4 linked regions of the Oreochromis niloticus genome follow. The protein of the gene in region 1 interacts with the protein of each later gene in a pairwise test. Links are inferred from orthologs where the notes say so. Each region holds a gene or a part of one and is shown in the gene's direction. Other genes may lie near its edges. The genes, in order: kxd1, mob1a, lrrc45 and exoc7.

What was found.
Region 2: the proteins of kxd1 (region 1) and mob1a interact in binary tests that used the Homo sapiens proteins (3 or more experiments, as listed by UniProt). The two-hybrid records come from large-scale screens. The link is inferred for Oreochromis niloticus from reciprocal best matches to the Homo sapiens genes KXD1 and MOB1A.
Region 3: the proteins of kxd1 (region 1) and lrrc45 interact in binary tests that used the Homo sapiens proteins (3 or more experiments, as listed by UniProt). The two-hybrid records come from large-scale screens. The link is inferred for Oreochromis niloticus from reciprocal best matches to the Homo sapiens genes KXD1 and LRRC45.
Region 4: the proteins of kxd1 (region 1) and exoc7 interact in binary tests that used the Homo sapiens proteins (3 or more experiments, as listed by UniProt). The two-hybrid records come from large-scale screens. The link is inferred for Oreochromis niloticus from reciprocal best matches to the Homo sapiens genes KXD1 and EXOC7.

The regions. Positions count from the first base shown.
Region 1 is NC_031972.2:56,468,843-56,476,537, forward strand, and holds the start of kxd1 (kxDL motif-containing protein 1), read left to right. Parts: upstream 1-4,689; 5' UTR 4,690-4,848; intron 4,849-5,131; 5' UTR 5,132-5,151; coding exon 5,152-5,249; intron 5,250-5,376; coding exon 5,377-5,529; intron 5,530-5,611; coding exon 5,612-5,658; intron 5,659-6,974; coding exon 6,975-7,231; 3' UTR 7,232-7,695. Other genes in the region: sinhcaf (SIN3-HDAC complex-associated factor), read left to right, coding at 679-1,009.
Region 2 is NC_031977.2:19,147,176-19,154,416, reverse strand, and holds the start of mob1a (MOB kinase activator 1A), read left to right. Parts: upstream 1-4,230; 5' UTR 4,231-4,412; coding exon 4,413-4,426; intron 4,427-5,538; coding exon 5,539-5,705; intron 5,706-6,125; coding exon 6,126-6,219; intron 6,220-7,241. Other genes in the region: mthfd2 (bifunctional methylenetetrahydrofolate dehydrogenase/cyclohydrolase, mitochondrial), read right to left, coding at 818-897. UniProt on the Homo sapiens protein: Activator of LATS1/2 in the Hippo signaling pathway which plays a pivotal role in organ size control and tumor suppression by restricting proliferation and promoting apoptosis.
Region 3 is NC_031973.2:28,377,719-28,384,767, forward strand, and holds the start of lrrc45 (leucine-rich repeat-containing protein 45), read left to right. Parts: upstream 1-4,028; 5' UTR 4,029-4,148; intron 4,149-4,220; exon of another isoform or gene 4,221-4,359; intron 4,360-4,587; 5' UTR 4,588-4,644; coding exon 4,645-4,873; intron 4,874-5,346; coding exon 5,347-5,408; intron 5,409-5,508; coding exon 5,509-5,579; intron 5,580-6,178; coding exon 6,179-6,357; intron 6,358-6,517; coding exon 6,518-6,646; intron 6,647-6,737; coding exon 6,738-6,850; intron 6,851-7,049. Other genes in the region: pseudouridylate synthase TRUB1, read right to left, coding at 1,187-1,259, 1,386-1,467, 2,120-2,175, 3,414-3,512, 3,599-3,746. UniProt on the Homo sapiens protein: Component of the proteinaceous fiber-like linker between two centrioles, required for centrosome cohesion.
Region 4 is NC_031973.2:3,946,464-3,953,937, reverse strand, and holds the start of exoc7 (exocyst complex component 7), read left to right. Parts: upstream 1-4,467; 5' UTR 4,468-4,637; coding exon 4,638-4,697; intron 4,698-4,862; coding exon 4,863-4,928; intron 4,929-5,233; coding exon 5,234-5,418; intron 5,419-5,497; coding exon 5,498-5,603; intron 5,604-6,147; coding exon 6,148-6,370; intron 6,371-6,614; coding exon 6,615-6,782; intron 6,783-7,107; coding exon 7,108-7,119; intron 7,120-7,474. Other genes in the region: tvp23b (Golgi apparatus membrane protein TVP23 homolog B), read left to right, coding at 1-107, 1,437-1,526, 1,693-1,818, 2,655-2,783, 2,876-2,902. UniProt on the Homo sapiens protein: Component of the exocyst complex involved in the docking of exocytic vesicles with fusion sites on the plasma membrane.

The DNA.
Region 1 (7,695 bases):
TATACAGGTGATGCTCCCACCGATGCCCCACCCTGACAGGTGTTTCCACCTGCCGGATTACAGTGACATTACAGGGATTTCTTTATGTATTTAGCTTAATACTACTAACTGTTACTTAATAATTTTTGTTTGTTCGTTTTGGGTCATTGACTACTAATTGCATTTGTTTTTATTGACAATTTTCCAGGTTTGTTATAAATGTATTTAGGATTTGAGTTTACTTTTACCTTCCAGACAATCTGTAATGTTTTATTGGCAAAGTTTGTAGAGATTTTGAAACTTGCTTGAGACCAGTAATCTATCAAAGCATAAAAATATATTTAATTAAAAAAAAACTAAAATGTTGCCTTTTTTAAATAGATTTAATAACTGACTTTTGATTTTTGACTTGTTTTTCAATACATTTTTTAAAATTTAGTTTTTCTTAGAGGATTTTTTGTGGTGCCTGATGTTTCATCTTTTAAGCCTAATGCGCATCTTTTTTCTTTGTCAAACAGAGAAACAACAGGAAAATGCATTCATTTGTGTCAAATACTCAGTACTACCTTTACCACATGAAGTGTCATGCTAATCCAGGACAACCCAGATTAAACACTGAATGCATTTTAATGCAATGCTGTCAACAGAGTAAACACACAGAGCCATAATGGTTTCTGTCTCATTTCATGCTCTGTGCAGGCAAAAGGTGTGCTGTGGAATAATCTACAAGGGGCGCTTCGGGGAGGTGCTCATCGACCCCCACCTGTTCAAACCGTGCTGCCGCAACAAACAACAACAACAACAGCAGCAGAAGCAACAACAGCAGCAGGAGGAGGCGGAAGAGGAGGAGGACGACGAGGACGAGGAAGAAGAGGTGGAGGCAGAGGAGGGTCGGGTGCGTGTGGAAAAATCCCAGATGGGAGAGGAAGTGAAGGAGATGGCAACTTGTGGTGAAAGTGCAGAGTCTGCTCAGCTGCAGGTTGCATCTCCACCAGTCAGGAGTGAGGTGGTGGGAGAGGAAGGGTGGTAAAGTCACCCCCCCACACACACACACACACACACACACACACACACACACACATCTCTGAAGAAATCTTGAGGTGCTGTTTTTTTTTTTCTCTCAAGCACTTAAAGAAAAAAGTTGCCTCAGATTGCCTTCAGTTACAAAGCAGCTGAAAAATCCTTTCTCCATAATGAGGATTGTTGATTGCATTTAAATGATAACTTATGGACTGTTGTGTTTCTCCGTTGTCTGTCTTTACTTTGTATTTAATATTTTTGCCATCCCGACGATGGACCATCATACTCGGTGTAATTGATCTACTTTGAAATGCTGGAGCTCCACTTTGCTGGTACATTTTTATCAGATTTTATTCCAAAACGCAATACATCCACTTATTTACAGAAATAAAGGTGCTACTTAAAGCTCACAAACACACAGCTGAACCCATCTCAGTGAAGATGTTTTATAAGCATATATGTTAAGATGACTAATATAATGAGGTTAATTAATTTTGGTTTCTTTGTTCAGAGTTGATATCTGGGTTTTTTGTTTGTTTTTTTTAAATGGTGGATATCTCCCGTTTTGGAATGAATGACACTTTACACTGACGGAGCACAGACCTGTACAGTAACCCTCTGTTTTTCTGTCTGCTCACGACAACATCCACTCCTAACAAAGAGTTTGTGGTTTTTAGACTGGATTAGCGTTTCTGTGTGTAAATACGTATGGGTCCCATTTGAATAAGGCCTATTCACAGCTTCAACAGCAAATACACCAGCCTTAATTATGTGTTACAGACAGCGCTAGTGTTAAATCTGGATTGGTATTAAGGAACAAAAAGGGACAGTACAAATATTTATTGTGGCCTCAGCAACACACACAGTGCATTTTTGCATGAATGGCAAGCCCACTCATCCAAAAGACCGACTGATCTGGTGCATGAGTCTTCTAAAAATTGCATGGCCTTATAAGAAATTGTAAATCTTACTTTTATTTTTTTGGATCCATTTTTCTGAAGTTTTAACTTATTTTTATATGTAAAAAAAAAAAAACAAATAAAAGTGTCTTTGCATAATAATACCACACAATACAACAGCAAAACACAAAAATCGGTCTATCAGTCATTTTAGCAATATCAATATCAGTGATTTCCATCATTCCCGGGTCAGTATATGGTAAAAGACTTTATACAAGCTAAAATTCTATGCCATTGCCTCTTATATACCACAAATGTGTTGTGATATATTGCCTAATATTACTTTATTTATCAAATGAAAGCCAAAGCACATTGAAATTCACCCAATGTCAAATCAATGCAGGTTTTCTATGGACACTTGTGCTTGTCCGAGGTCATTTATATGTATGTTTTAAAAATAACACTAATATGAAATTTCATACATGTGATGTTGTAGTTAGGAGCAGCGGCTGTGTTATGTACATAAGGGGTTGGATGAGTCATATGGCTCTTTATATAGGTTTCATTATTTATTTATTTCATATTTATTTGTATTCCTACTTAGAGAAGTGAATTCTTTTCATCTTTAGCTTACTCGTAGTATGGTTTTATTCATCAGAAGTCGAATGTTATTCTCACGCAGGCTTTGGTTAACATTGCGTTCAATTACTGGTTGTCAATATTTGTGAAATGTTGTTAAATATTTATTTGCTCATCGGTTGAGTTGCGTGCAACCTAACTTATTCTGTATCATCACTTGTAGACTGAAACAGCTGATAGATTGCAACCAAACTGTACTTCTCCCTTTTTACCTTGTAGCTTAAAAATGTCACAGAATAGTAGGATACAATAGTAGGATACATAACTCTAGACTTGCATGTATTGTTGCTATGCATTTACTTAACTTACAAGTTAGAAGTTAGACAAAATGGTTTTGTATTTTTTATACATCATGTACTTTTTTTTACTTGTCCCTTAATAAAAATTAATTTTGTGAGCTTTCTGGATGTATGGAGTGACTGAATTTATTGGTGTAAGCCGGAAAGGGAGGGAAAGAGGGACGCTACCTTCTAAATATGAGCGTGGATGTCATAATTACATTATACATATACACCTGTCTAACTGTTTGAGGCAAATCTCTAATCAGCAAGCCAGATTGCAAATGTAGCATGTTTTCCACCATGTGATGTATCCGTGTGAATATTTCAGACCCTGCTGATCTGCTGGGATTTTCCCGCACAAACATCTCTAGGGTTTACAGATAATGATCTTAAAAAGAGAATAGCCAGTGAGTGAAAATGTCAGACTGATTGAGCTGATAGGAAGGCAACAGTGACTCAAATAACCACTCATCGTTACTATTAAAGTATGCAGTAGAGCATCTCTGAGCGCATAACATGTTGACCACCAAAGCAGATGGGCCACAGCAGCAGAAGACCTCAACGCGTGCCACTCCTGTTAGCTGAGAACAGCCTGTTTGCAGAGGCTCACCAAAACTTGACAGTAAAAAGTTTGAAAAATGTTGCTCTAGTTCTGCTCCAGTGGTAATGGTGGAGAATGGTAAGGTTAGAATTTGGCATAAACAGCATGAACCCATTCTGCCTTGTATGAAAGATTCAGGCTGCTGGTGTTGTGGTGACTATTTCCTTAACACACTTTGAGCCATTTAGCACCACCTGAGCATTGTTTAAATACCACAGCCTTCGCGGGTATTGTTGCCGATCATGTCAATTGCTTTATGACCACAGTGTACACATCTAATGGCTGATTTCCACAGGATATGTCACAAAACCAAGCCACAACACTCAATCTTAAACTGGTTTCTTGAGTATGACAAAGAGTTCATTGTACTCAAATGACCTCCACATGCACCAGATCACGATCCAGTACATTTTTAGGATGTGGTGGAACAGGAGATTCACATCATGGATCTGCAGCTGGCAAATCTGCAGAAATTGTGTGATGCCATAATGTCAATATGAACCAAAATATCTCAGAATTGATTCAAGCACCTTGCTGAATCTATGCCACAAAGAAGCAGTTCTGAAGCAAAAGCAGTTCTGAAGGCGAAAGTGGTCTAACCCGGTAACAACGTGTTCCTAATGAAGTGGCCGGTGAGTATAGATTACACTATTTTTTTTTTTAATTTTTTTTAAGAGAGAGAAACATAGGAGTTCAAATGTACATAAGGCTATTCATGTTGCTGCTCTTCAAGTTCACTTAAACAAACACGGTCATATACACTCGAAATATATTCCATGCATGCATCCATTTTTTCGCGCTTTTCCAATTCAGGATCATAGTTGTGCTGGAGCCTATCCTAGCTGTCACCGGGCGAGAAAAATATGTCGTGTGTTTCATTGTCACTGAAATTTCCGTCCATGACTTGCAAATAATTATGCAATTACTTCTGCAGCGACCGAAACAAAACACACTCTGTAAGAAAGTAGCTTAAATAAAGCACAACAGCTCAATAAAATAACATTATAATGACAAAAGAAAACATTTCACTAAAGTCAAAAATGATCTCAGTTAAACAGAAGAAATTGGGTAGAATTACATTAGCTCAGTAGGGAAAAAACAAATAAAATTGAGAAAGAATGGCACGTAAAAACAAAATAAAACACAATGACGTGGCTCAGTAGAATTAAACATCTCAATTTCATTTTTAATTCAATGAAAAATATATAAGTGAATATAAATTGCATATTAACGAAATTAATGAAAAAACAAAAACGAAAACAGACAAGCAAAAAAAACAAACCCGTAGACCGGAAGCGGTGGTCTCGTGACAGGAACTTGAAAAACATATGGAAGTGGGTTGTTTTTGTCTCACAGCCAGCTGTCAAATGTAGTCTTAATCTGCTGCGTAGTCGTCGAAACTCTACAGATAGCCATCGTCCGAGCTCAGGTAAGTAATGTAAACTTTGTAGTTGCATTTATTATTATTACGGCTCGGTAGCTAGCGTACTAATCCTGCGGTGGTTGGTTTGGGGTGCTAACAGGGAGCTGGAGGGCAGTCAAACACCGGCACAGCATGCGGTGAATAAATAATTCACAGCTGGAGTTGACTGCCTCTGATTTAATTAGTGTTCACAATTCTAGCTTCTTTCTTTCTCGTTGATTAAATGCCTGTGTTTACATTTCTGGATATTTTGGCTCATGCAGTTGTGAGTAAATGTTTCCAATTGCAGTTTTCGGCTTGCTCGTCATCATGGTGGAGCACACGGCATCTGACGTGTTCTGCAATCGGATGCTGAGCATGGTCAACTCTGAGGATGTTAACGCCATCATCCAGGCTCAGAGACACATGTGAGTGCCAGACTGAGCCCAGTGGTGCTTCCTGCCATGAAATATAAACTCTGTCTGCTGTTTGGGGTTGATCATATGTGTCTCAGATTAAGATTTCTGTTTCTCTGGTTAACTGTTGTGAAAACAGGCTCGACCGCTTTGAGAAAACCAATGAAATGCTGATCAACTTTAATGGGCTGTCTAACGTACGCCTGCAGCAGATGAATGAGCGTTTCCTGCTCCACACTCGCACCCTTGTAGAGATGAAGAAAGATCTGGACAGCATCTTTAGAAGGATCAGGTTAGTGTCTACTACTCCTACCATGCAAACATGCAAAAACAAAAAATACACCTTTAATCACAGGCTTTCTCTGCCTCTCCAGGACACTAAAAGGAAAGATAGCTAAGCAGTATCCAGAAGCTTTCAGCAGTGAGTTGTTGTTTTCTTTCTATTCATCACAACTTGATTTCTTTTTTTTTTTCCATGTTTCAGATTATCAAGTAAATGGTAATATTACACAAATATAATCAGAATAAATACAAAATGCAGTTTTTCATTTATTATGGGGGGAAAAGGCCATCCGATCTAACCTGGCTCTATGTGGATATTTAATAACCCCCTCCCCACCCCTTGAAACTTTAATTAACTGTGATTAAGTTCACTTTCATTAGCCACACTAGTGGCCTGATTACTGCTGGAATTGTTGAATCAGTAAATTACTAAACCTGACAAAGTGAGGTAAGCTAAAAGATCTCAAAAAGAGACAGCTCGTGCCACAATGTAAAGAAACAGCTGAGAAACACAGTTGACTGATATTTCATTATGAAAAGGGTTACCAAACCATTTCTAAGGCTTTGCAAGTCCTGCGAACCACAAAGAGAACCAAAATCCGCAAATGGAGAAAACTTGGAACAATGGTGAACCTTCCCAGGAGAGGGTGGCCTACCAAAATTACTTGAGAGTAAATCAACGACTCTTTCAGGAGATCACAGAAGGCCCCAGGACAACATTTGAGATCAGTTATAGTCAGTGTTTATGAATCAATAATAAGAAAGAGACTAGAGAAAACTGGCATCTATGGGAGAGTTCCAAGGCAAAAACCACTGCTGACCCAAAAGAAAACACCAAATCATCTCCTCTCACAAAAATATTTACATCAAGAAAATAATCTGAGGATTGACGAGACTAAAGTTGAACTTAAAAGGTTGCAGTCCCTTTTTATTTGGTGTAAAACTAACAGAGCATTTCTTAAAAAGGACATCATAGCAAGTTCACCACTGAATGGCTAAAAAAAACAAAAGGTTTTGAAGTAGTCAAGTCAAAGTTTGGACTTAAATCCAACTGAGATGCTTAAGCATGACTTTAAACAGGCTGATCATGTCCAAAAACTCTAATGTGGCTGAATTAAAACAAATCTGCAAAGAAGAGGACCAAAATTTCTCCACATCAATGTCAAAGACTCATTGACAGTTATCACAAACACTTGACTGCAGGTCTTGCAGCCAAGGGTGACAGTTTATACGTTTATCAGGTTTAGAGGGCGATGATTTATTCACACAGGACCAGGTAGGTTTAGACATGCATTTTGTACTTAGTCGGATTATCTTGGTCTAATATTAAAATTTGCTTAATGATCTTAAACATGTGTAACAAATATGCAAATACCTAAGAAATCAGGGAGAAATCAAATACGTTTTCACGGCACTGTAAATTGAATTTTTTAAACAATGTATTTTTCCTGACAGACATCCATGAGTCGCCCATCTCTGAGGAAGATGACGATGAATTTGACCCAGTTCCCCCAAGCATTGCCACAACTACTACAACAGCCACCTCAGAGCAGAGCACAGAGTCATGTGACACAAGTCCAGATGTGATCTCGCCCACTGTGAGCAGATGCTCTGAAGAGCTCTCTCAGGAGCCACCTGACACGCCCACCTCTGACTTCCTAGAGACAGCTGTCCTGCAGGATGAGGGTCCTGACTCAGTCCCCGCAGAATAGCGAACAGTTAATGGGTCACTTTAAACTTTTTTTTTTTTTTTCTTTCAGGAAGACTTGTTGTATAATTGCATGTGCACTTGCCACTGTAATGTTTGCGGTCATTTATTTGTTTGATGTTTTGAGGTGGCTTTGCACTGTCAATGAGAAAGATGCTTTTTTTGCCATACATAATTGTGTCGTGCCTGCATAGCACCACAATAATGCAGAAAATACTTGAACTTGTATAATACACCACTGTATATCTGTATGTGTATAACTATACAGTAGACCTGAGCAAAAGCCTGTCTGTACGAAGAAGTTCTCATCATGTCAACATAAATAACAGATACAAAATCTAATCTCACTCTGAATATTGGTAGTTAGTTTTTGCAAATGTTGATTGCACTTGTTGCAGCATTGTTATTCAACAGTCTCCTGTTAACCCTATATAATTTATTTCCTATAAAACCAGGAAGTATGTTTAT
Region 2 (7,241 bases), on another chromosome or scaffold:
AATAACTCATGTTCACAATATTTATCTTTTGTTATTGTTTACTCTGCACATGATAACACAGCACTAGTCCTTCTCGCAGCTGAGTTTGCAGAAATTTTCCTCACATATATAAATGAAATTAACTTGAGGTAACGTGATCCCACCAGATCTAATTTGGCAAGCAGTGATGTAAGATAATCACACATGCATATGTCCTAAATTATCAGCCTTGTGTCTTTGCAAATCACGCAGATCATGCGCAGGACCCACGAGATTTAAGAGTAGTTTTTTTGTGTGTGTGAAAGATTAGTTAATTGCATGTAGTCATACTGCACTCAGCAAGTTTCCAATAAATACCTGCACGATGCAAACGCTTAACAGGCTGCTGACTAGCTGCTGTAGCATTACTCTCAGCTTGTTATATCAGGTTTTACAGACCACGTGATCAGATATACCCTGCATGTTCATTTTGCCCCAGGTGTGCACACCTACACCTCGAACTCCACCTGAAACCTGCCACTGGGTGCAAGCAGTCACACAGATTTCATCAGCCAGCCCCCCCACCCCTCATCTACACCTGCAATATTACCGGCGTGACGCTAGGGGCGCTGCGAAATGTGCTCAACTGAGGACGTTTAGTACAATAAAACAATAAAAGCCAGCAGAATAAAACCCAGCGACTTCATCCGCGTACATAAAAGCCTACAAATAAGAGGGCACACGGGGGGTGGGGAAACTAAAAAAGAACCAAACACTCCTACCGAGTGAGGAAACAGAAGCGCCTCAGAGGTCGTAAAATGACCGTTAAAGCCGCAGCAGATGTGCGGAGGAGACTCACCTCGAGGCGGACGTGTGCAGTTTACAGACTTGGTGCTGTGTGTGCTGGCACAGTTTCCTGAGAGTCCTGAGCGCTGCCATTTCTCACCGGCTCACAGAAGAGGAGACACTGCTACAGCGCCGGTTACGAAACCCCGGGTCTGACGGAGGGAGGCTGTGAAGGAGGAAGAGGAGCAGAGCGGTTTTAAACACCTCCCCCCCGCTCGTGGAAGCTGCCTACGTCACTGCTATCAGTCGCCAGCCCTCTGCTGCAGAGCTCTGCCCCTTCACAGCAGCCCAGCGTGGAAGCTCATGAGCGGTACCAGGCCGTTATTCTTTCAATATAGAGTCAGAGTTGTTGTTGTTTTTAGAGCTTTAAAGTTATTTTTCACGTACAGTTTCCACGTTCAAACAACCAGGATCATCATAGCTAACTAAAACAACACTGAAACCAAGTATAGGTGTGGTAAAACATTTGAATCAACTGAAATAAAAGCTAATTCATTAAATAAAAACTTAAGCATATTATATATTTGCAAAACTAACTTAATTGTTTTGGATTTTCACAGAACTTTTTGCAGTTTTCACAGCAGTTCACGCCAAGGTCACACCCTGTAATGCTCAGAGACAGTGTAAAAAAAACCCCAAGAACCCCATCACAGACTCCACAGGCCTCAGTTGGCATGTTAAATGTTAAAGGTCATTACAGTACAGTTAGTAAAAGAGTAACAATCATGGCTTGTTTTTCCCTCTATCCTTGTGGAAACAGGCTTGAGGTTTCTGGTTCAACTTCTGAGGTGCACAAAGAAGAGGAAACATCTGAGGACTCTGACTAAAGGCTACAGGCAACAAGGCACTATGGAGTTGTTGTTCATACTATAAATGTAGTTTGAAAGAGTTGCCAGGAGAAAGCCTCTTCTTCCTAAAAAGAATCTGAACCAAACCACAAGACCTCTGGAACAATGTCCTGTGGACAGACAAGACCAAAAAGGAGATCATAATGCACAGCACCGTGTTTGTCATAAACCTAACACCTCATAGCAGCTGTTAGGCACGGTGGTGGAGGGGTGTTGATTTGGGCTTGTTCTGCAGCCACAGGACGCTTTGCACTCATCGGGTTGACCGACTTTCATTTTTCTCATGACTTTTTTGTTGTCTGTGTCACTTTTCATACGTTTGTTCATGGACTCGTTCATTAACCAAAATAAAAATAAAAATGAGAGAAGAAATCGGAAACAATAATTTGTACTTACAAGACTGACTGAAATAAAAAATAAACAGAAAACATTCTTACTTTTTGGCAGTGTGGTCAGATTTGAAACACCCAGACAGCTTAATGAGGCTTTGGTGTAAATTCACATCATGTCTGTATCAAATGAGGTGTTGTGTTTGTATTATAATATTATAAATCTTGCTTCTAACTCTTAACACCCACATTATAATAAGAAAACTAAAAGCAACGCTGAAACTGGATTGCTACTATTAGATTACTAAATGATTATCATGGCTTTCTTGGTCAAGTTGAACCATTGTAATTACTTTATTCCCTATTGGCAGCTTTAATATCCTTTAAAACTGTTTTTTCTTAAACCCTAATAAAAAACAACTACATGGCACATTTATCTATTGGATGTATTAAAGCAGATTTTCTTTCAACGTTTAAATACTCAGTTATGTACAGATACACAAGAATTGTATTTTAGTTGAGCACTTGATTAAATGTAGGTCTTATCTGTATTCATGTTCATGTCAAACTGTGGGCACTTAAAGGAAAAACAGTACTAAGGCAGTGGATTCTTTGGAGTTAACCCCATGTCTGCTGGAGGTTTTGTGGAAAAATGTAATACCTGACTGAACCTTTTGAAACACATTGATCTGTTCTCTGTTTGCCACTGTTTGTTCTCGCTCTTTGGTGGAACCACAAGCTAACAGCTTAGCTTAGAGCTTGGAGAGTACCGAGATGTACTGTACTTCCTTATCTGGAGAGCACATGCAGGGCGGGTATATGAATGAATATGAGTGAAAGTAGGTTCTCTGACAGATAATGTTGTATGCTTCGGATCATATGCTGTCTCTCTCTTCTCTTCTCCATCTTTCAGGTACAAGTTCATCTTGTTTTATATGTCCAAAGATATATGTATATATTGATACCTCTCAGATAGATTTGTGTTTCCAAACTAACGATGCCTTCACCTGCACTAATGTGTCTTTTTTGCCTCATATTGCGAATTCCAAATGCAAATTCAACGCTTCAGACCTTTTACTCCAGATCTTTTATCGGCATAATTAGTTTTGCTATAATGAGGGAACAGGCATCACCTGGCAATGAAATAGCTTATTATTTAACTGAAAATGAGAAAGATTTAAGCTGACAGTCTGCACTTAGATCGTATATCCATTGTTTGATTTAAAATCTCCATCTCACCCTGTCCCTGGGATCCACCTCTATCACACTAGCCCTTTTCATGTCCTCCTTCACTACATCCATGAACCTTCTCTGAGGTCGTCCTCTTTTCCTCCTGTCTGACAGCTTCATATTCAGCATCCAGTGTCTCTCTCAGCCCCACCTCTCTAACTTTGTCTTCAAACCTGAGCCGTCCCTCTGATTTACTCATTTCTAATCTTGTTTGTCTTGCTCACTCCCAAAGAAAATCTTAACATCTTCATCTCTACCACCTCCACCTCAGTCACCTTTCATGGCCACCATCTCCAAATCATATTTCATAGCAGGTTTCAGTGTAAACCTTCTCTTTCCCTCTTGCTGTTATCATTGTATCACAGATCACCCACCACTCGTCTCCATCCACTCCACCCTGCCTGCACTCTCATCTTTGCCTCTCTTGTACACTTTCTGTTTCTTTGGATGGTTGACCCCAGGTTTTTAAACTTATGCACCTTCACTACCTCTACTCCTTACATCTTCAATGCACCTGTCTCCCTCTCATTCACACACATATATTCTGTCTTGCTTCCTCTGACTTTCATTCCTCTTCTCTCAAGAGCAGACCTCCACCTCTCCAGGCTCTCATCCGCCTGGTCCTTACTCTCGCTACAGATCACAGTGCCATATGTAAACATCATTGCCACGGAGACTCCTGCCTGACCTCATCTGTCACCTTGTCCATCACCACTGCAAACAAGAAGGGGCTCAAAGCCGATACTGAATATAATCCCACCCTGACTTTGACCTCATCCGTAGCACCTACCAGACAGCTCACTGTTGTCACACTGTCCTCATATTAAATGATCAAAAGTTCATAAAGAATTTAAGGGGATTGTTCTATGTCACAGTATTACAGTGTCACAGTATGTCACAGTGCTCCAGGATGACACATGAGAAAGTAACAGTTTTATAACAGAAAGGTCTTGAGCTTGGAAAATGTACGTAGTAATACCTACAGGCAGACTGAAGGGGGCGACAGACTACCATTTGCGCTGCAGCAGACAGCAGACAGAGGAAGAGGCTCTGTGGGTGCAGTTCATGTTAGCCTTCACTGTTGCTGTTAGCAGGCACCCCTGACAAGTGCCTCGCACAGTGTACTCCTAAAACGCGTTTCTGTTTACTAAACTAGCTTCAAGAGTTCAAATCCAGGAACTTTAACGATTCCTGCGCCAAGATGAGCTTCCTGTTGTAAGTAAAGTGTTTTTTTCTTCTTTTTTTAAGCGCTCGTGAAGTTACAGCCGGAGCTTGCGGTTAATGTTAGCTGCGCTTCTACGAAGTTCAGTCAAGGGAAGTAAGGGGCGATAAAATAAGACACCGCTACATAAAGTAGTCAGCTAACCGCATCCCAGTCTTAGTATAGGTTTAAGTTGCGTTAAAGTGACGCCTTCCTTACGCAGAGCTACCACTGATGATTGTAACATGATCGAGAAACTGTTGATTTACAGTTTGCCACAACTCACGAACTGTAACTTTTTAAAGTAGTGAGTTAGTACGTGCTAACTTTGCTAGCCTGGTGAGCAGCGCTAACTCGCGTTTGGTTAGCCAGCTTAGCTCATATGGTCACTCTTTAACTGACTTAAGTGAGGCTAGACATTCAATTTTTAGTCATATCCCACACCTTTGGAGGTCTAATCTCGCTGGGTGGTTATAAAATGTTAAGTAACGCCGCTAATTAAGTTTCCGTTGTTTACAGTAATACTGTGACACTGGTGCATTTCCTGTCAGTGGGTATACACTATAATGTGGTTGAGTCACGGCTCTGACGCTGTGGAAGCCAAAGTTTTTTGGTTTGATGGCAAACGCTGCAGCGGTCACCCATCACGAGTTCAGCGTGAAGTTTATAGATGTCCACCACCAAGCTTGCATCTGCTGAGTGCACACATGAACAGGAGTCCTCCCGTGTGTAGATCAAGGCCCAGGAAGAGGATCTACTCTAAAATTAGCCTTTTAAAAACGACACTTTAGATAAAAGTCTGTTGTTTATGTAGTTCACTATCACAAGTTCAGTCTTTACTGTGTTCAGCTCTCTGTCCTGTTACACATTTGATTCGACAATCTTACTGCAAATGACCTTATAAAGAAAAAAATAAAAGAGGAAGGAAAACACATGAAAGTCAGTCATGCAGGGATCAACATGTCCAGTTAACAGTATGTTTATCAGATGTTTAAGGTGTAAAAATTACATTGTCAACCTTTCAAGGGTAAATGTTAACCCCGTGGGGGGGGCAGACAGATATGGCCTGTACCACATGACCACCATGAAGACAATATTTCTTAGATCCACTTTAAATTCTGTCCAGTGGTAGTCGCTCATCTAAGACCTTCAAGCCGAAGAAGAACATCCCAGAGGGCTCCCACCAGTATGAGCTGCTGAAACACGCAGAGGCAACGCTGGGTAGCGGAAACCTGAGACAGGCTGTCATGCTGCCAGAGGGAGAGGATCTCAATGAATGGATTGCAGTGAATAGTGAGTGACTCAGTACAATGACCCTGCACACACAGTATCCAACTAACCAGTTAAAGTTTGTACCTGTGCCCAGTGTTAACATGAATCATAAATAAAATAGTTCTGTACAGGTGCTGCACATTTGCACCACCCTGTGGTGTAAAAAGAGTAATAGGGTCATAGAAGAGTGCACACAGCTGGCAGACTGGTAAATAACTGGTTGTTGCATTAAGCAGGTATTGTAGAATTACATGTTTTATATGTTATCTCTAATAAAACATGGTATGTTTAAATATATGGCTTATGAGCATTTTGTGCTTTTAAATCTATTAAACTGTGAGTGTAGATACTAAAATACATATTATAATCTCCCAGTTCTTTCATCACAATAACATGCATAAATTCTGGATAAAACAAATAAGAATTTACTCTTTCCTTTAGCGGTGGATTTCTTCAACCAGATCAACATGCTGTACGGTACCATCACCGAGTTCTGCACCGAGACGAGCTGCTCCGTGATGTCTGCAGGACCAAGGTAACGCCAATCATTGTCCTCATGTTTGTGCTCTTAATTTAGAGTAAAAGTATTTCCACTAGGGCATATTTAACTGAAGACACGTTGTGAAACATCAGGAAAAACACGGGTGTTTAGATGCTTTATCTATCGGTGTGGTTACTGATATACACAATGGCCCACTTTCAAAGGTATATACAACACTTAGACTAGGGCTGCAGTGATTAATCAAGTAATTCAATTATAAAAAATTCTCGACACAAATTCTTTGCTTGAATGCTTCATTTAACACATGACTCTGTAGCACGGGCCAGCAAAACTCAGAGGCAGAGCAAAGGCACATTTTTATGCATTAGTTTAAATTTCATATCTATCTTATTTTGGCCTTTGACTGTACTTGAGATTATTTATATATTTTTACATTTAACAGAAGTGAATTTTTGACTTTTAAGACTTGGGTTATTATTGAGCTATGGGAAAAACATTTTTTAGTGTTTGATACCCAAACATGATGTTTTTGTTGAGGATTTAACTCAACTCCCCAACAAAAAAAGACAAAGAAAAACAAAAAGCTAAATCTGTTTTGCACTGTGTATCAGATAAAGCTAAATTCAGCTGACTCATTTCATGCGGCCCACTTCCTCTGTTTTATCAGCTCCACAATTACACTTTATCTATTTATTAGCTGTTATTTTACCAGGACGTCTCACTGAGATAAAAATGGCTTTCTTTTATATAAGAGACTTGGTCCAGCTGTTAAGATCTGATCTCCTGAGTTAACTGCAGAATCAGATTCCCAGATCACATTTTTAGTGGTGCAGGTGGTTAAGTTAAATCAGCTTCAAATCAGTCATCTGAATGTCACATGAGGAACACGGGAATTAAATCTTGCACGTGGACCCTGTAGAAGCTGTTTAGTTAGACTCTTCCCCTATCCTCTGTCCTGCCAAGACTTTCTGCGCTCAGTCTCTAATCAGGAGGAAGAGACGAGGGGGGTTCACTTCCTGTTGACATAGCCGCCATCAAGACTACGAAACTTCTGC
Region 3 (7,049 bases), on another chromosome or scaffold:
AGGAACTGGGTCCACACTACACCCTCAGTGAGCCCACACATCATTTCTTAGCCTTTACAACAATTAGTCATTACGGCTCTTTGATCATATCATTAACCTGTAACATGCCATCAAACTGGCTGCACATTCAAAGAAAACTGGTTTCAGTTCAGCCACTTATTGAAGCCTCTGGTGTCTACTGCAGCGTGTTGTGCGCTGAGAAGGTGATTGGCTGCAGACTCCCATCTCTGCAGGACCTGTACACCTCCAGGACACTGGGGCGTGCAGCTCGGATCACAGCTGACCCCTCTCACCCTGGACTCAGTCTGTTTGACCTGCTCCCCTCAGGCAGGAGGCTCCGGTCCATTCGCACCAGAACCTCTCGCCATAAGAACAGTTTCCTCCCCTCTGCTGTTGGACTCATGAACAACAACCATATGACTGTTCCCACCACTAACATGTGACCCTACACTGTGTTCACTGCATCTGTTCCATTTTTGCACTGATCATCACCTGCGCACATGTATATATGAATCTGCTCAGCACTTTTAATTTTAATTTTTATGTTTTTGTAAGTGTTGTCTTACAGTATGTTTTGCACTAAGTACGGCAGCAATTTCCTAATGTTGCAAACCTGCTCAACATTTGGCAATAAAACCCTGATTCTGATTCTACTTCTCATCTTTGCTTGTGTAGACTCAAAATGATGACACGGCTAATGTTCCTCAGAAAATGGAAATGGTTTCTCCACAAATGGATATGCAGCCTATTTTAACAATCAAAGTCATTTTGTGGTTCCCTGATTTGAATTTTCCTGCTGCATCAGCCAACCTGTCACATTCCTGGAAGAGTCTGTGATAAAGCTGGGAATTCACCTCGAAGATGAACCGTCCAAAGCTCTCGTCGTGCCTCAATTCATGCACCTTCATGTTAGGTAAGCATGTAACCACTGCACCACGGAGCTACTCACTGCCTGCAACCCCCAAAGAGGAAACTCACATGAACCCGACGTTTATACATCTACCATCAAATCTAACACCATCCCAAACAAGCACAGTAACAGAGGACGTGAAGTCCTGAGCTGCTGCTCTGAAAAGTTTTAGGTTTTGATTTATGCAAAAGAAGATTTCATCTCAAGAAAAAAACGTTTCGTTTGATCTAATTAATGCTTCAGACGTGGATGTTGACTCCCGGAAGCCGTACTCACAGCGGAGGCACTTGCATGATGTCACCAGTGAAAGCTTTCAGCTTTTCCTCAACGTCCAACCTGGTTATGTGTTCTGGAGAGGAAAATATATGAAGACATAACTCACTGAGAGACAGACGGTAGAGCAGAAACAGAAGTTTGCAAAAGCAGATTATCCTGCTGTGTCGAGGGATCTGAAAGATCAAATGAATGGATTTACCAAAACCTTTCTCCAGAGTCACGCTGCCGGTGGCATCAAGAGTGTCTGTTGCTTTTCCAAACTCTCCAACGGCAATATATTTCTGAGAAACACACAACATGTGTCACATTTGTGTTTCCCCTTAAAAGAAACACCCAGTTCATCCACAGTTAACAAGTTAAAGGAAGCATTCATGCATTTGTCATTCCAGACATCTAATGTAAACGAGACGTTCGAGTCTGTTGAGGAACTGTATTGTATACACACTACAGAATGTCCTTATCAATATATATTTGCATGTATACTTGTACCTAAAAAAGTGCTTCTTCTACACATACACAGAGGTTTGTGTTGTGGTTTCTAACAGCTCATTAGTACTTGTTAGATCTGCTACCATGAAAGCAGGCACAAACCAATCAGCACGTATCAACACAATGCTAGAAGTTCATGGGGGAAACTGACTTCACTGTGACACTAACTAAAGGACACACGTTGTTTTATTTGTACTGGAACACGTCAGTGTGCATCTGTTAAAACTAACATGTTTGGCTTCATCCAGGTAATGAAATATGTTAGAGTCAGAGTAGCAGTCAGAGCTTGGCTGGTTGGCTGGTATCAGTTTAGAGCTGCACAGCAGTGCACAGCAGTGCAGCTCTAAACTGCATTAATGCACGGTGCCTCTCACTTTTCACCAGACGTCATGGTTTAATGCACAGAGAAACAGTTTAGTTCAAACAGCAGTGAAACAAACTGACCTTTGACCCAGTCAACATTGTGCTGAGCATTTTGGTGCCGTTCCCAACACCAACAACTGAAACAAAGAGAGTCCAATGATTAAAGTCCTGCTAGCGCCCCTTACAGGTTGAAATGTTCACTGAACTCACTTTTAATTCATTAATCTAATCACAGTTCACAAACTCAGAATATACTGAAACATTTATATTAAGTGTTCATCTTTGTGCTTTGTTAACAGTTGTTAACAACCTTTCTTCTTCATGACATCATCACCTGGGACTTTCCAAGCAGCAGTGAAGCAGCTGCTTTTCACTCAGACTGAGCCAACATCACTCCGCTGTAACCTGACTGAACAGCTTTTCTTATGTATAAGGACGAGGTGGAGGCGTGCTCTCGTGTCCCTGTGCTGCTGAGCTCAAACCAGACAACATGGCATCGTGCTGCAGGATGTTGTAGCAGCCATGCTGGTTAAGAGCCGTCTTACAATCAAAGCCATGTCACACTGTGGGAAACGTGCACCTCACAAAGACACAGCAGCTGGAGCATCAAATCTCATATTTGAACTCGTTTAACGTCTTTTGCTTGTATTTCTTGGTGCACACGGTTCCTTTCGTCATGGAAACACACCAAAGACACTTCAGGTTAGCTCTGACTCCAATGTTAAAATTCTCAACTAAACAGCAATAAAAGCATTTTCACTGCCTTTCAAAAGACCAGTTTGGTCTCTTTACCCACTTTTCCCTTTAATGGTGACTGTGGGTTTAATTCGACCACATTGAATTAATTTTTCCTAAAATTATGGGTGTGGCCACTTTGACAGACGTACCAGCACAATCAGCAGGGTTGTCTGGTAGGCCTCACCTCTGCTAATTGGAGTCAATCAACCAGGCTTCTGCACTTTTAGCTGCATAGGTGCTTTATAAAACACTTTAATAAAGATAAGAACTACAGTTGGGCTCATAAGTTATCAGGAAAATCGAGTCCTATAACATCGTTATTCAATGACAACAACTTGCATTTGGCAGTTGTTCAGCGAAACTGTCAATATGAGGCTGCAATTGAAGGAGGCCATCATTGAGCTAAAAGCACAAACACAAAATACAGCCATCAGAGGGAGAGCAAATTACCAATGTAGTCCATTCTTAAAAAGCTAGAAAGCACGGGCCACTCAGAAACACTAAAGGCCCAAAACACCACTGAAGAAAATTTGAATGAATTCTTCACTTGCCCCCCCCTTCCCTCCTCCCAGGGCAGGAATGACAACAGTCGCACGTGGCCCAGCACCGGGACGTGAACGCTAGCCTAGCCGCTTACCCAGCACCCCGCTGGCAGCGCTGTCCAGCGTCCCTCCGTGTCCCATCTTCAGGCTCTGATTCTTCCTCTTCCGCGGGTTTGGATTTTTGACTCCCGCTTCTGAAAGAAAAAGCGACACAAACGATTTACGGTCAGCTTTTCACAAACACCAGGCTGAACGTCCTGCTGCTGTTTGGTCCCGTTACCCTTGAGCAAAGCTTCCTTGAGTACATTTAACACGTCTGCGGAGGTCGGTCCTTGTTTTTTATATATCGCAAACAATCCGTTTAAAGCCTGTAGCTGTGACAAAGAACTAGTTATCGCAGGGACGGTGTTACTGACGTTCCCAGCCATGCTTGTTTCTCTTTTCTTTGGCTAATGTCCATCTTCTTCTTTTACCCCCAGTTGCAACTATGCGACCCGCTGTTGTCTTTACTGCCACCTGCTGGTTGAGCAAAAACTCCGTCTTACTTCTGCATGAATAACATCATTAAACAATACGATGCTTAATAACCTTCTGTTTTTGACGATCAGTTTAAACAGTATTATAGCCAGTCTTAGCTCATCCTCACACAGATTAGGCCTGATAAAAACGAACAAGCAGATAGATAAATAGAGACTTATTTTTTCGAAACTACGTTGACCAAAATGCTTTGCGTCAAACACTTCCTAGTTACTCTGTGCCCTGGTTTCCTTTTTCTGTCAGCTGGTCGAGCTACAACAACAATAACTGTCAGGAAGACAGTTTTGGTGGAGGTCTGTGTTTTTATCTTAACCTGTAATTATTATTTTGATCGCTACTCAAGAAACCCGGTTTGAACCCCTCCTTACTTGGATCATCGGTTTAAGATTTGATTGTCCCGCGCGAGCCTCTGACTCGCGTGGAGATAGCTCCTCGCGTCACTTTCATTCAAAACTGGCTGTTCAGCGTGGGTCTGACTGTTACAAGCTACCATGTAAAATACACGTCAGTACGCTTTAAATCCACACAGTTGTGTAGGCTGGTCGCTACAGTGGTTAAAGTTGATTCAGTGTCGTGTGATCATCAATTATTTCTTAAATTTAGCAAAAGAAAAAAAGTATCCCTCGGCGTTTTTGTTATTTATTAATGCATTTATCTTTGATGCCAGGAAAATCAACAGCACATGTATAGATAGCAGCAGTAAGAACTTTGGTCTCTCCTTCTTTTCACCAGTTGGTCTGAGGACAGAAAGCTCTGCTCTTTAGATGATCAGGAGTCTGCAGAGCCTGAATGGAGGATTTCAGGCGGATATACCTCCGTCTGTGTAAGGAGGGAGGCGTGGAGCCTCAGGAGGGTGTTGTAGCTCAGCTCCAGGAGAGCAGGTCTGCTCAGGGCTCCAGACTGGACCTGAGTGGACTGAGCCTGTCTGCAGATACCTGCTCAGTGCTGGCTAAGGCCTTCCATAAGGATACTGTCTTTACTGAGGTGTCACTCAGTGACTGCATGCTCAGCGAGGAAGGTGCGTAAGGACAGTCTTTATGTAATGTGGAGAATTATACAGTATGTGCAAGTGTATGGTCCTCAATAATGTGAATGATGCAGTGATGTGGCCCTGCCCGAGTCACACTGCTGCGGCACGTCTATGTAATGTACTTTAATCAGTCTGATGGTTAAATAATAAAACTATCAGAATGAGTGTGTTAGGCTACATATCACACAGATGCTGTCAACAAAAAGTCCTTTGGTTCTGATCCTGAACAGATCTTCACATTTACAGAGTTTGCGCTGCTTGAATTAGAAGGATAAATGCAAACAGTCTTTTTTAAATGCAACAAACAAACAGAGAAATAGAAAACATTCATATAGATCTTTTTTCTCATTAGCATAATAAACCACATTTGCTGCTCTGGTAAATATTGTGACTCAGGATGCTGAGTGCAGGATTAAATTCTGTGTGTGTGTGTTAGTCACTGTGCTGTGTGTGACTCTCAGGTGCCAGAGTGCTCCTCAGTGGACTGTTTGACAACACAACTGTCAAAGTCCTGGATCTAAAGGTACCGCCTCCCAAATTAGACTCTCCACACACGGTGACACTAGTTTTATTTTATTGCACAATATCTGTGTGTCCTTAGGTTGTGTTTTTATTGTTCACAGGGGAATAACCTCAGATCATCAGGAGCCGAGGTGCTGGGACAGTTCTTGGCACAAAACAAGACGCTGCACAGGTGAGACTCATGCTCTTTGTGTCTGTGAACCATTTCATTCCTTTCCCTTATGGCTGTTAATAGTTGTATAGTACCGGTTCACAACAACAGATCGTAAGCTGTCTTTTAACAGCAGGAGACCTGCGAAAGCCCGCAGGCTGTGTGTAGAGACAGACAGACACTTTAGTGATCACACAGAATATTTAGTAGTTGAGTTGACCACACAAAAACCGCTGTAGTCACTTCTGTTTTTGGTGAGAAACACTCTGACACTTTGTATTTCACCACAAATGAGTTTCAATCAAACAACCAAGATGTGAACAAAAATATTGCATTTGTGGCAATTTTCAAACACATGAAAGACACATGACATGAAAGTAAGAACAGACAGCCTGTAGTGTGGGACATCATATATAGTCATTGAACTATTCTGTCTGTCCTGCTCCTGGAATTTGGAGGTCATGATACTGAAAACAAAATAAACCCGTCAGAGAGACAGCAGAAACGTGACCAAATGCACAGTCTTATCATGCATTTCTGATCATTGAAGGAATCTGTCAGCACATAGTCTGAGTACTGAAGAGTGTGCCTAATTAACTGGCAGTGTTTGGTTTTTGCAGGCTGGTGCTGGAGTGGAATGCGTTGGGCGTGTGGGACGAAGCTTTCTCGCTCTTCTGCAGCGGTTTAGCTTCCAACTGCGTGCTGACGCAGCTGGACCTGCGCAACAATCAAATCAACCACCATGGAGCATCGGAGCTCGCTCTGGCACTCAAACGCAACAGCACACTGGAAGTTCTAGGTGACACTAACTGGTTAACGTCATGTACCGTATTGTTTGGTAGAGAACAGCTTTTAAGAGCAGCCTCCGTCGTATGGCAGCATCATAAGTTTAAGCTGCAGAGCCTGCTGTTGTCATCAGCAGATGGTCCATGCTAACTCCTCTTACATTACTTACTCAGATCTCAGGTGGAACAATATTGGTCTGCTGGGAGGCAGGTCCATGCTGGAGGCACTTCAAAACAACAAGAGCATAGTGCAGCTGGAGATGGCTGGGAACAACATACCCAGTGACACGCTGAAAGCTCTCGGTAAGTCCTACCAGAGGTCGTAACGCTAGCAGTATGGCTTTGTTAGCATTACTATAACATGGTTACGCTGAGAGCCATCTTTACCTTTCAGAGCAGGCCACAGGGCACAACTCAGACAGGCGGTCCACCCTGAGGGAGAGCCGCAGCCGGACCCAGGTCCTCAGCAAGGAGATTCAAACACTGAAGGAGGAGAAAGGCCGGCAGGTAACCTCGCAATCCCAAACTGCAGACACCACAGGTCGGCCATTCACCTCCAAAGTTTTGAATTCAGGAAACATTTCTCCCAGAGAAGCGATCAGAAGTCTACAACCTGTCTGAATATGGGACTTCTGATCCTCCCAGCACTTGCACCACCAGTAGGAAACCCCAGTGCGTGCACTCTTGTAGCTATAGCCCACTGTGA
Region 4 (7,474 bases), on another chromosome or scaffold:
TCAGTGCCATCATCGTGTACCTGCTCGCTGAGCTCATCGGTGGGAGCTTCATCGCCTGCATGGTCACAATAATCCTTCTGCTCTCATGTGACTTCTGGACAGTAAAGGTGTGTCTCTTATCACTTTAATATCACCACTGTAGGGATGTTGTATTGATTATAATTAAATATCTTGGTGGGGCTTTTTTGCTTTTTTTTTTTGGATTTCTTAAAGCCAGAACTCAGAGGAAGAGTGGACCAGATGAGATAAAAAAAATTAATCAGGAGCTTAAAAGCAAGATTGGAAGTCGTCCTAAAAGCTTGCCAACTGTTTTCACCTTTGGGTTATATATTATTAGTTTTGAATGAATTGTCGGTGCTGGGATGAGATGATGAGCAGTCGTGAGAAAAACATGGTGAAAAGTTTGGTCATAGATCCAACCGTCGTGTTTATTGACAGACAGTTCGGAGCCTTGGAGACGGGATATGCAACAGCCGGTACTGCAAACATCCAGTCATAATCATGATGAAGTGAAGCAGAGTTTACAGGCCAGCCTGACATTTGTAACGTGCTCTTTATTTAATCACTGTAGCTTCACTGCCTACAGTGAGATTTAAAAACATCTGGTTTCTGGATGTTTGTCGTTCACTGGTTCTTGTGGCACTGTTATTGTGTGCTGGTGATGTTCATGTTGAATCAGTTTAAATAGCCTCATGGTAGTGAACAACAAGTCCACATAAACTGGTCCTTCTAAAAGCAAATCTCACAACAAAACTGCCATCTTGGAATCAATTTGAATCCCTTATCAACAGAAATGAACGAGAGCTATGGGATTAATTTCAGTGGTCACTGGTGGAGTGGTTAGCAAACTCACTTGGCAGGTTGCTGGTACGATTCCAGCTGGAGATGCAAATCCTTTTTGGGGTTGAATGGAAATCACATGGTGGGAAACTGCCAAATCAAGCATGCTGAGCTACTCGCTGTGGTGACGCCTTGGGGCAAAGCAACAGCTGAAAGCAGCATTTTAGCTTTTACTGGAAAAGAAAAACTGCACGTAGAAAATCAGCAGTTAGATCTGATAAAAGATCTGACATCGTGACATCTTTACTGCACTATCAGGTACGTGGTGCCTTTTACCACACAGCTGAAGCTGTTGTGACCCTTTAGTGCGTACATGTACAGGGTTAATGTTTTTTCTGTTTGGGCGATCGATTGGCTCATTGAGTGCCATTTTTTTTTTTCTTTAAGGCTTTCCTAAATCTCCTGTAGAATCTCCTTGGATAATATCTCTGGTTGCACTCTGTAAGGCAGATGTGGAACTGGACTCAGTTTCCAGAGTCACACTGTTACACAAAGACTAAATAATTAAACCTAGGAAACAGTGTTCGGATCCAGCACCATGTGAATAAGATTTGCCAGAGTCTCCATAATGAAGCCATAAATCTCTCCATCTGCAGAACATCACTGGGAGGTTGATGGTTGGTCTGCGGTGGTGGAATCAGGTTGATGACGATGGACGAAGCCACTGGGTGTTTGAGTCGAGGAAGGTGAGATGCATCTCTGCTGAATCTGCTCTGGCTCTGACTTGGAGCTTTAGCTAAACGTGACCTTGACCTCTTGCTCTGTATCGGGTTGCACCGCCCAGATGTTTACAGTCAGTAGGCCTTATCATGTTCGCATGTCCTAACTGAGATATGTTTCCGTCTTCTTCAGGGTACAGGGAAGCAGCAAGCATCAGATTCAGAGTCCAGAATATTCTGGCTCGGACTGATTGTTTGCCCCATCCTCTGGGTCATCTTTGTCTTTAGCACCCTGTTTTCATTCAGGATTAAATGGATGGTAAGTTGTTAGATTTAAGTGACTGGACAAGTGCTGTTTTTCTTATTATCAACAAATCCAATTAAATTTTTCTCACAGCACTGTCTTACCTAGCATTCCTGGCTGTGTCTCTCAGCTCTAAGCCCACTGAACCCTATTAGTTCTTGGTGCTTTCTTAAGTAAAATTAGACAATAATTACTTGGTAAACGTGTGCCAGTGTTTTCTTGCTCTCACCCTGCATCTCAAGCTTGCTTTCAAAGTTTTCCTGCTGCATGAGGGGGGACTTTTATTTGCATGTAAACTGTATATAAAAGATGGGCATAGCCGTCCTGTGGTTTTGGGTTTCACAGTTTGAAGCCTCAGTGTTTTTGTTTAGGCTAGCAGATGGTTAGCAGCTACGTTACCTAAAACATCACCTAAGAAAGAAGAAACTGTCTGTAGAGGGCAGTTTTAAACTACAGGTTTTATCCCTCGAGATTGTTGTTTGGGAGTCAGACACAGGAACACAGTGGACTCCTTCAGCCTGAATGCTCCATGTCTGAAATGCTCACAATGTGATTTGAAGCTTTATGAGATGATGTGTCGGACATGCACCCAGTGTTTTCCCAGGAGGCTATATGCTCGTTTGAGGTGCACATGACCTGATGCAGTAAGGTCCCAGTAAGGTTAGAAGTCGTAACTTTTAAAAAATGAAAACAAAGATCAAAATCTTAACAAGGAATCATGATAGAAACAGACACTATTAGACACTGATGGCAGTGAAGAGGTTCACCTTTAGCCTTTTCGTGGGATTTAATAAGGGGAATATGAAATATGACCAGGGTTTATTTCAGAAAAATTTTCTTCTTTCTCACAGCCCGTCGTGATCATGGGCGTTGTGCTGCAAGGCGCCAACCTGTACGGATACGTGAGGTGCAAAGTGGGAGGGAAGACCAGCTTAAAGAACATGGCTACCAATTATTTCGGACGACAGTTCCTCAAACAGGTGAGTTTTAAATAAAACACACAATAAAAAGTCTTTTAATTTAAAAGTATTTGTCCTGTTTCTAAGAAGTCTTTTGTGTTTTTCCTCCTCAGACGCTGTCTAAGGAAGAGGAATCGTAGAGTGCAGCTCTGCGGCGTTAACACATCTGCATTATTCTCAATGCTCTGATATATAAACCTTCTTTTTCTCAGTGGACACGGGCAGGAAAGCATTCTCAGAAAAAGGGCAGTTTTTGATTGTGTGCTTTCTTTAAATGACTCAGTAGAGTTGTCTTTATCTTCCACACAGAGGTCAGAGGTGGGTTTTCACTACCTGAGGTCCAGCAATAAATCCTCTGATTACCGAGAACTGCATGAGTGTAAAACAGCTGACGCGTCGGAGTGACTGTAGTTTGTGTCATAGTCTCACAGCTCCTTCAGATTTCTTCTTTTAGTTAGTTTGCCTCTAATAACTTTATAAATTAACAGTAATTAAAGAACCTTTGAGAGATGTCATACAGACATTTTGGTTTGTATGAAAGTGTGTAAAGTGTAACAGGAGATTTGTAAATATGTAAGTGAACAAACTGTGTGAAGAGTCATCTTTTGTGCAAATACATTTGTAACGTTTTTCCGAACTGGGTGCTCGTGTTTATTTATGTGGAGAGTCTGATTAGTTCCAACTTTTTATAATGCGGGAGCCTCTAAGAAAAGAAAAGTGTTGAATAAAAAGAATCCCGTAAGAGATTCAAGAAAAAGGAATAAATATAAATAAGATTTGTTTCCATTAACCAACACTGTTCCAGGTTTTTGTTTAATTTCAGAAATTTATAGACTCAAAAATAAAAATATTACTTAATGAACTGAGTTTAAACATTTAGTCTGCTAATTCCACGGTTTGTTATTCATGTATCTAATTAGTTATGACTGTGTTCTCATGCTTTTAATGTGTTTAGTACTGAGTGCAACAGCGACCTCTAGTTGTTGGTTCTCGTCATTGCATGTAATTGCAAACATTTTTTTTCTCAAAAACTTTGAGAACTCTTGATTACAGTTCACAAATAACATAAATATTTAGGCGTTTGTGTAAAAGTGCCTCAATGACAAAATGTCAGTGTTGAAAAGTTTTCTTTAAACTTAAAAATCTTCTGATTTACATTCTTAGACAACTACCTGTGTTTGTCTTTTGTAAATAAAGTTTTTAAAAAAGATATCCGGGATAAACACCCCTTACCGGAAGTCGGTGTATTTGACCTCCATAATAAAGGTGACTCACATTATCTAGCAAAAAGGGCAACAATTGTGATAAATGGGGGGACAAAAATCTTATATTAAAGGATATAAAAATTTACAAAATGTAAAAAGAAAATTAACACTTTTGTGGGATGTACACCTCATACTGCTTTACTCTGTTCATTTTTATTGTCATACAAACAGTAAATGCATTCATTTCTAAAGCTTTTTAGGTGGGTGGGACAAAGGCTTCACAATTTTAGTTGAAGACTATACCCAAAAAAATGACTGTGCTCCATAATAAAAGACAACTGAAGAAGAATTGTGTGTTTACTTTCATTTGCAGTTAGAATAAGATATTAAATAAACTTAAACGTAATCCTGATTTAGTACAAACTGATTGGGGGGAAAACCGATGAGCATTTTTTTCACTGTTCAATTTAGTGCCGATGGCTGTTTTATTTTGAAATTCTAACCGGAAACCCTTGCCCTGTTACGGCTAACCAAACTAGCTTAACCTCACCGCTTTTAGCTATCCATGACAGCGGCTCAGGGGTGTCGTTGTTGTTTTTATTATCTAAATCGGCAACTTAGTCACGTTTTAGCCGCAGAAGAGACTCCTTTGCTTTAAATTTCCTCCAGGATGATTCCTACGGAGGATGCGTCCGCCAGGAAGCGGGAGATCGAGGAGAAACTGAAGCAGGTCAGACAGCTGGAGGCTTGAGAGGAAGGAAGCTTCCCTTCGAGCTACAACCCACCAATGTGGCTCAATACCCGAGTTTAAAATGATGCTTATTGACCGAAGGAGTGTCTTTAATGTCTTCAGAGTGAAATGAGCGAGTGGTTGGTTTTCTTTCTGCTGTTACAGGAGCAGGAGACGCTGTCGTTCATCCGGGAGAACCTGGAAAAGAGCGATCAGCTGACCAAAAACATGGTAGGACGGTCCAAACACACCCAGGGACAGCTCAGGCTGACACTCATAATTCTCATAATTAAAGGCGGCGGACTGATCTCCATTCGACAGTACTTTGACCCATTATTAAAAATAATTATTATTCTTGTACTTGGATTGAAATATCTACTTATAGTTTCTATAGATTTAGTGAGTCGATGAAAGCAGCCTGTGGTGTCATTTTTCAGCTTTCACCCCACTTCAGCTGGGACTCATTATTTAAGGCGCTATATTAAAGCTGCTTTTATAGCCCAACTGGTTTTTCACCTGTATTTCTTTCCCAAAAGGTCTCCATCCTGTCTTCATTCGAGAGCCGCCTGATGCAGCTGGAGAACTCCATCATCCCGGTTCACAAGCAGACGGAAAACCTGCAACGGCTGCAGGAGAACGTGGACAAAACTCTGTCCTGCATGGATCACGTCATCAGCTACTACCATGTGGCCAAAGACACGGACAGGATCATCAGAGAGGGGTGGGGATGACCTTCGTATGCAAATGTTTTGTGGTTACACAAACTCCGACATGTATACTAATTTTCTTTTTTGTCTCAGACCTACAGGCAGACTGGACGAGTATCTTGCTTGCATTGCAAGAATTCAGAAAGCTGTCGAATACTTTCAAGACAACAACCCAGACAGCCCTGAGCTCAACACAGTGGTAAAATATCTGCCTCTCTGAAATTACAGTTGTGGTAAAAATTTTACAATCCACTCATCATAGGTGTGAATGTCCTGGAAAGTTTGGGCTTTTATTAATTTCTTTGAAATGTTATTTTCCCAGGGTGGGAAAATAATAGGATTGAGGTGAGGATGTTGGGAAGACTGTACCAGAATCTTAATGTTGTCCTGCTTTCTGTGCTCTTGTGTTTTTCTAGCAAAATACATAAAACGAGCCTCTGATAAATACAATGTGTGTATGGTGTGTCGTGGTTCTCACAGTACTACGGTGAAAATATTTTTTTTAGCCACCTGTGTCTGAAAGATAAAAAGCTATCTGAGGCACATGAAGCCAACAGTTCCCCGTATTTACTGACTGAACAACATTATACACAGCATAGCTCTCTGTGTGAATCGTGCTGTTATTCCTACATTCATTTATGTGTAAATTTCATGCACTTTTTCCTCACTGCAGACGTCTGCTTCAGTCTCTGTGCCGTTCCGAGTCGTAGTCACTAATTTCATGACCGTATCTTCTTCTGCAGAAAGCACGCTTTGAAAAGGGGAAGGAGCTGCTGGAGGGCGAATTCCGCAGCCTCCTGACCCGCTACAGCAAACCCGTTCCCCCCATCCTCATCCTGGACGCCATCAGCGTGGATGAGGAGCTGGAGGTCCAGGAGGAGGTGGTGCTGGAACACCTGCCCGAGGCCGTGCTCCAGGACATCATCTGCATCGCCGGCTGGCTGGTGGAATACGGACGTAATCAGGGTACGGCTGTGTTTGTTTGTTGGAGGTCTCTTCCTATTTAAAGGAAGTTCTTTACCACATTTGCAAAAATCATCTGATCGTTGGGCTTTTCTCTCTAATATTGGAGGTCCTCTACCTTACAATCTAAAAATCATCTTACCACCAGAGCTGGGATGATGTAAATGATTAAATTGGCTTTGAAATGTGCAGGCGGTGTAGAGAAACTGGAAAGATTGTGTCTAATTTTGCTCTCCTCTTCCTGCAGACTTCATGAACGTCTACTTCCAGATCCGGTCCAACCAGCTCGATCGCTCCATCAAAGGCCTCAAGGAGCATTTCCGCAAGAACAGCGCCTCCTCCGGTGTCCTCTACTCGCCTGCCGTCCAAACCAAGCGCAAGGACACGCCAACTAAAAAGGCCCCGAAGAGACCAGGTCAGCAACAGATGTGCCTCATTCAGACCGAATCCACAATCACGCCACTTCAGTCTGTAATCAACTCGCTGTCCAATCCCGTCTTCCATAGATCAGCCTAACAAACACGCATGATCCTGCATAGTGACGGATATTAAATACACTCGTCACTACATCCACAGTCTGTTTCTGTCTCAGGTTATCCTCCACAACCTCTCTGTAATCACTCAGTTCACCGAGCTGTAGCGCACTTCTACCACACACTGTGTTTCTCTGTGATATTACACCCTGCTCTAACTAATCCTTCATCCTCTCCTCTTTCATAATCCCTGTGTTGTGATGACAGTCTACATCCCAGGTAAACACAAAGCTCTAGCGTGTGCCTCGTGCTTGCTTCTGTCCGTCAGATGCCACATTTCACGGCAAATCAGAGACAGCATGAGGGTTTGCGTCGTTTTATTAGCAGCTGAGACAGCAGAGGTTTATTTGTCCTGTTGATGGTGTAGTAGGTGATCCAGTGGAGATTTTAACCTCTAGTTTCACGGCAGAGCGTTTCGGTGATGGGATGAGTAAGGTGGAGGTTGCCACCAAACCGCCGATAAACAAAAGTTGATGAAATTTCTTTACAATTTTACTAGAAATGAATAATTTATAATTGCATAGAATACAAATTATTATTTATGATTGAGACTAGCTCTATAAAATGATGTGTA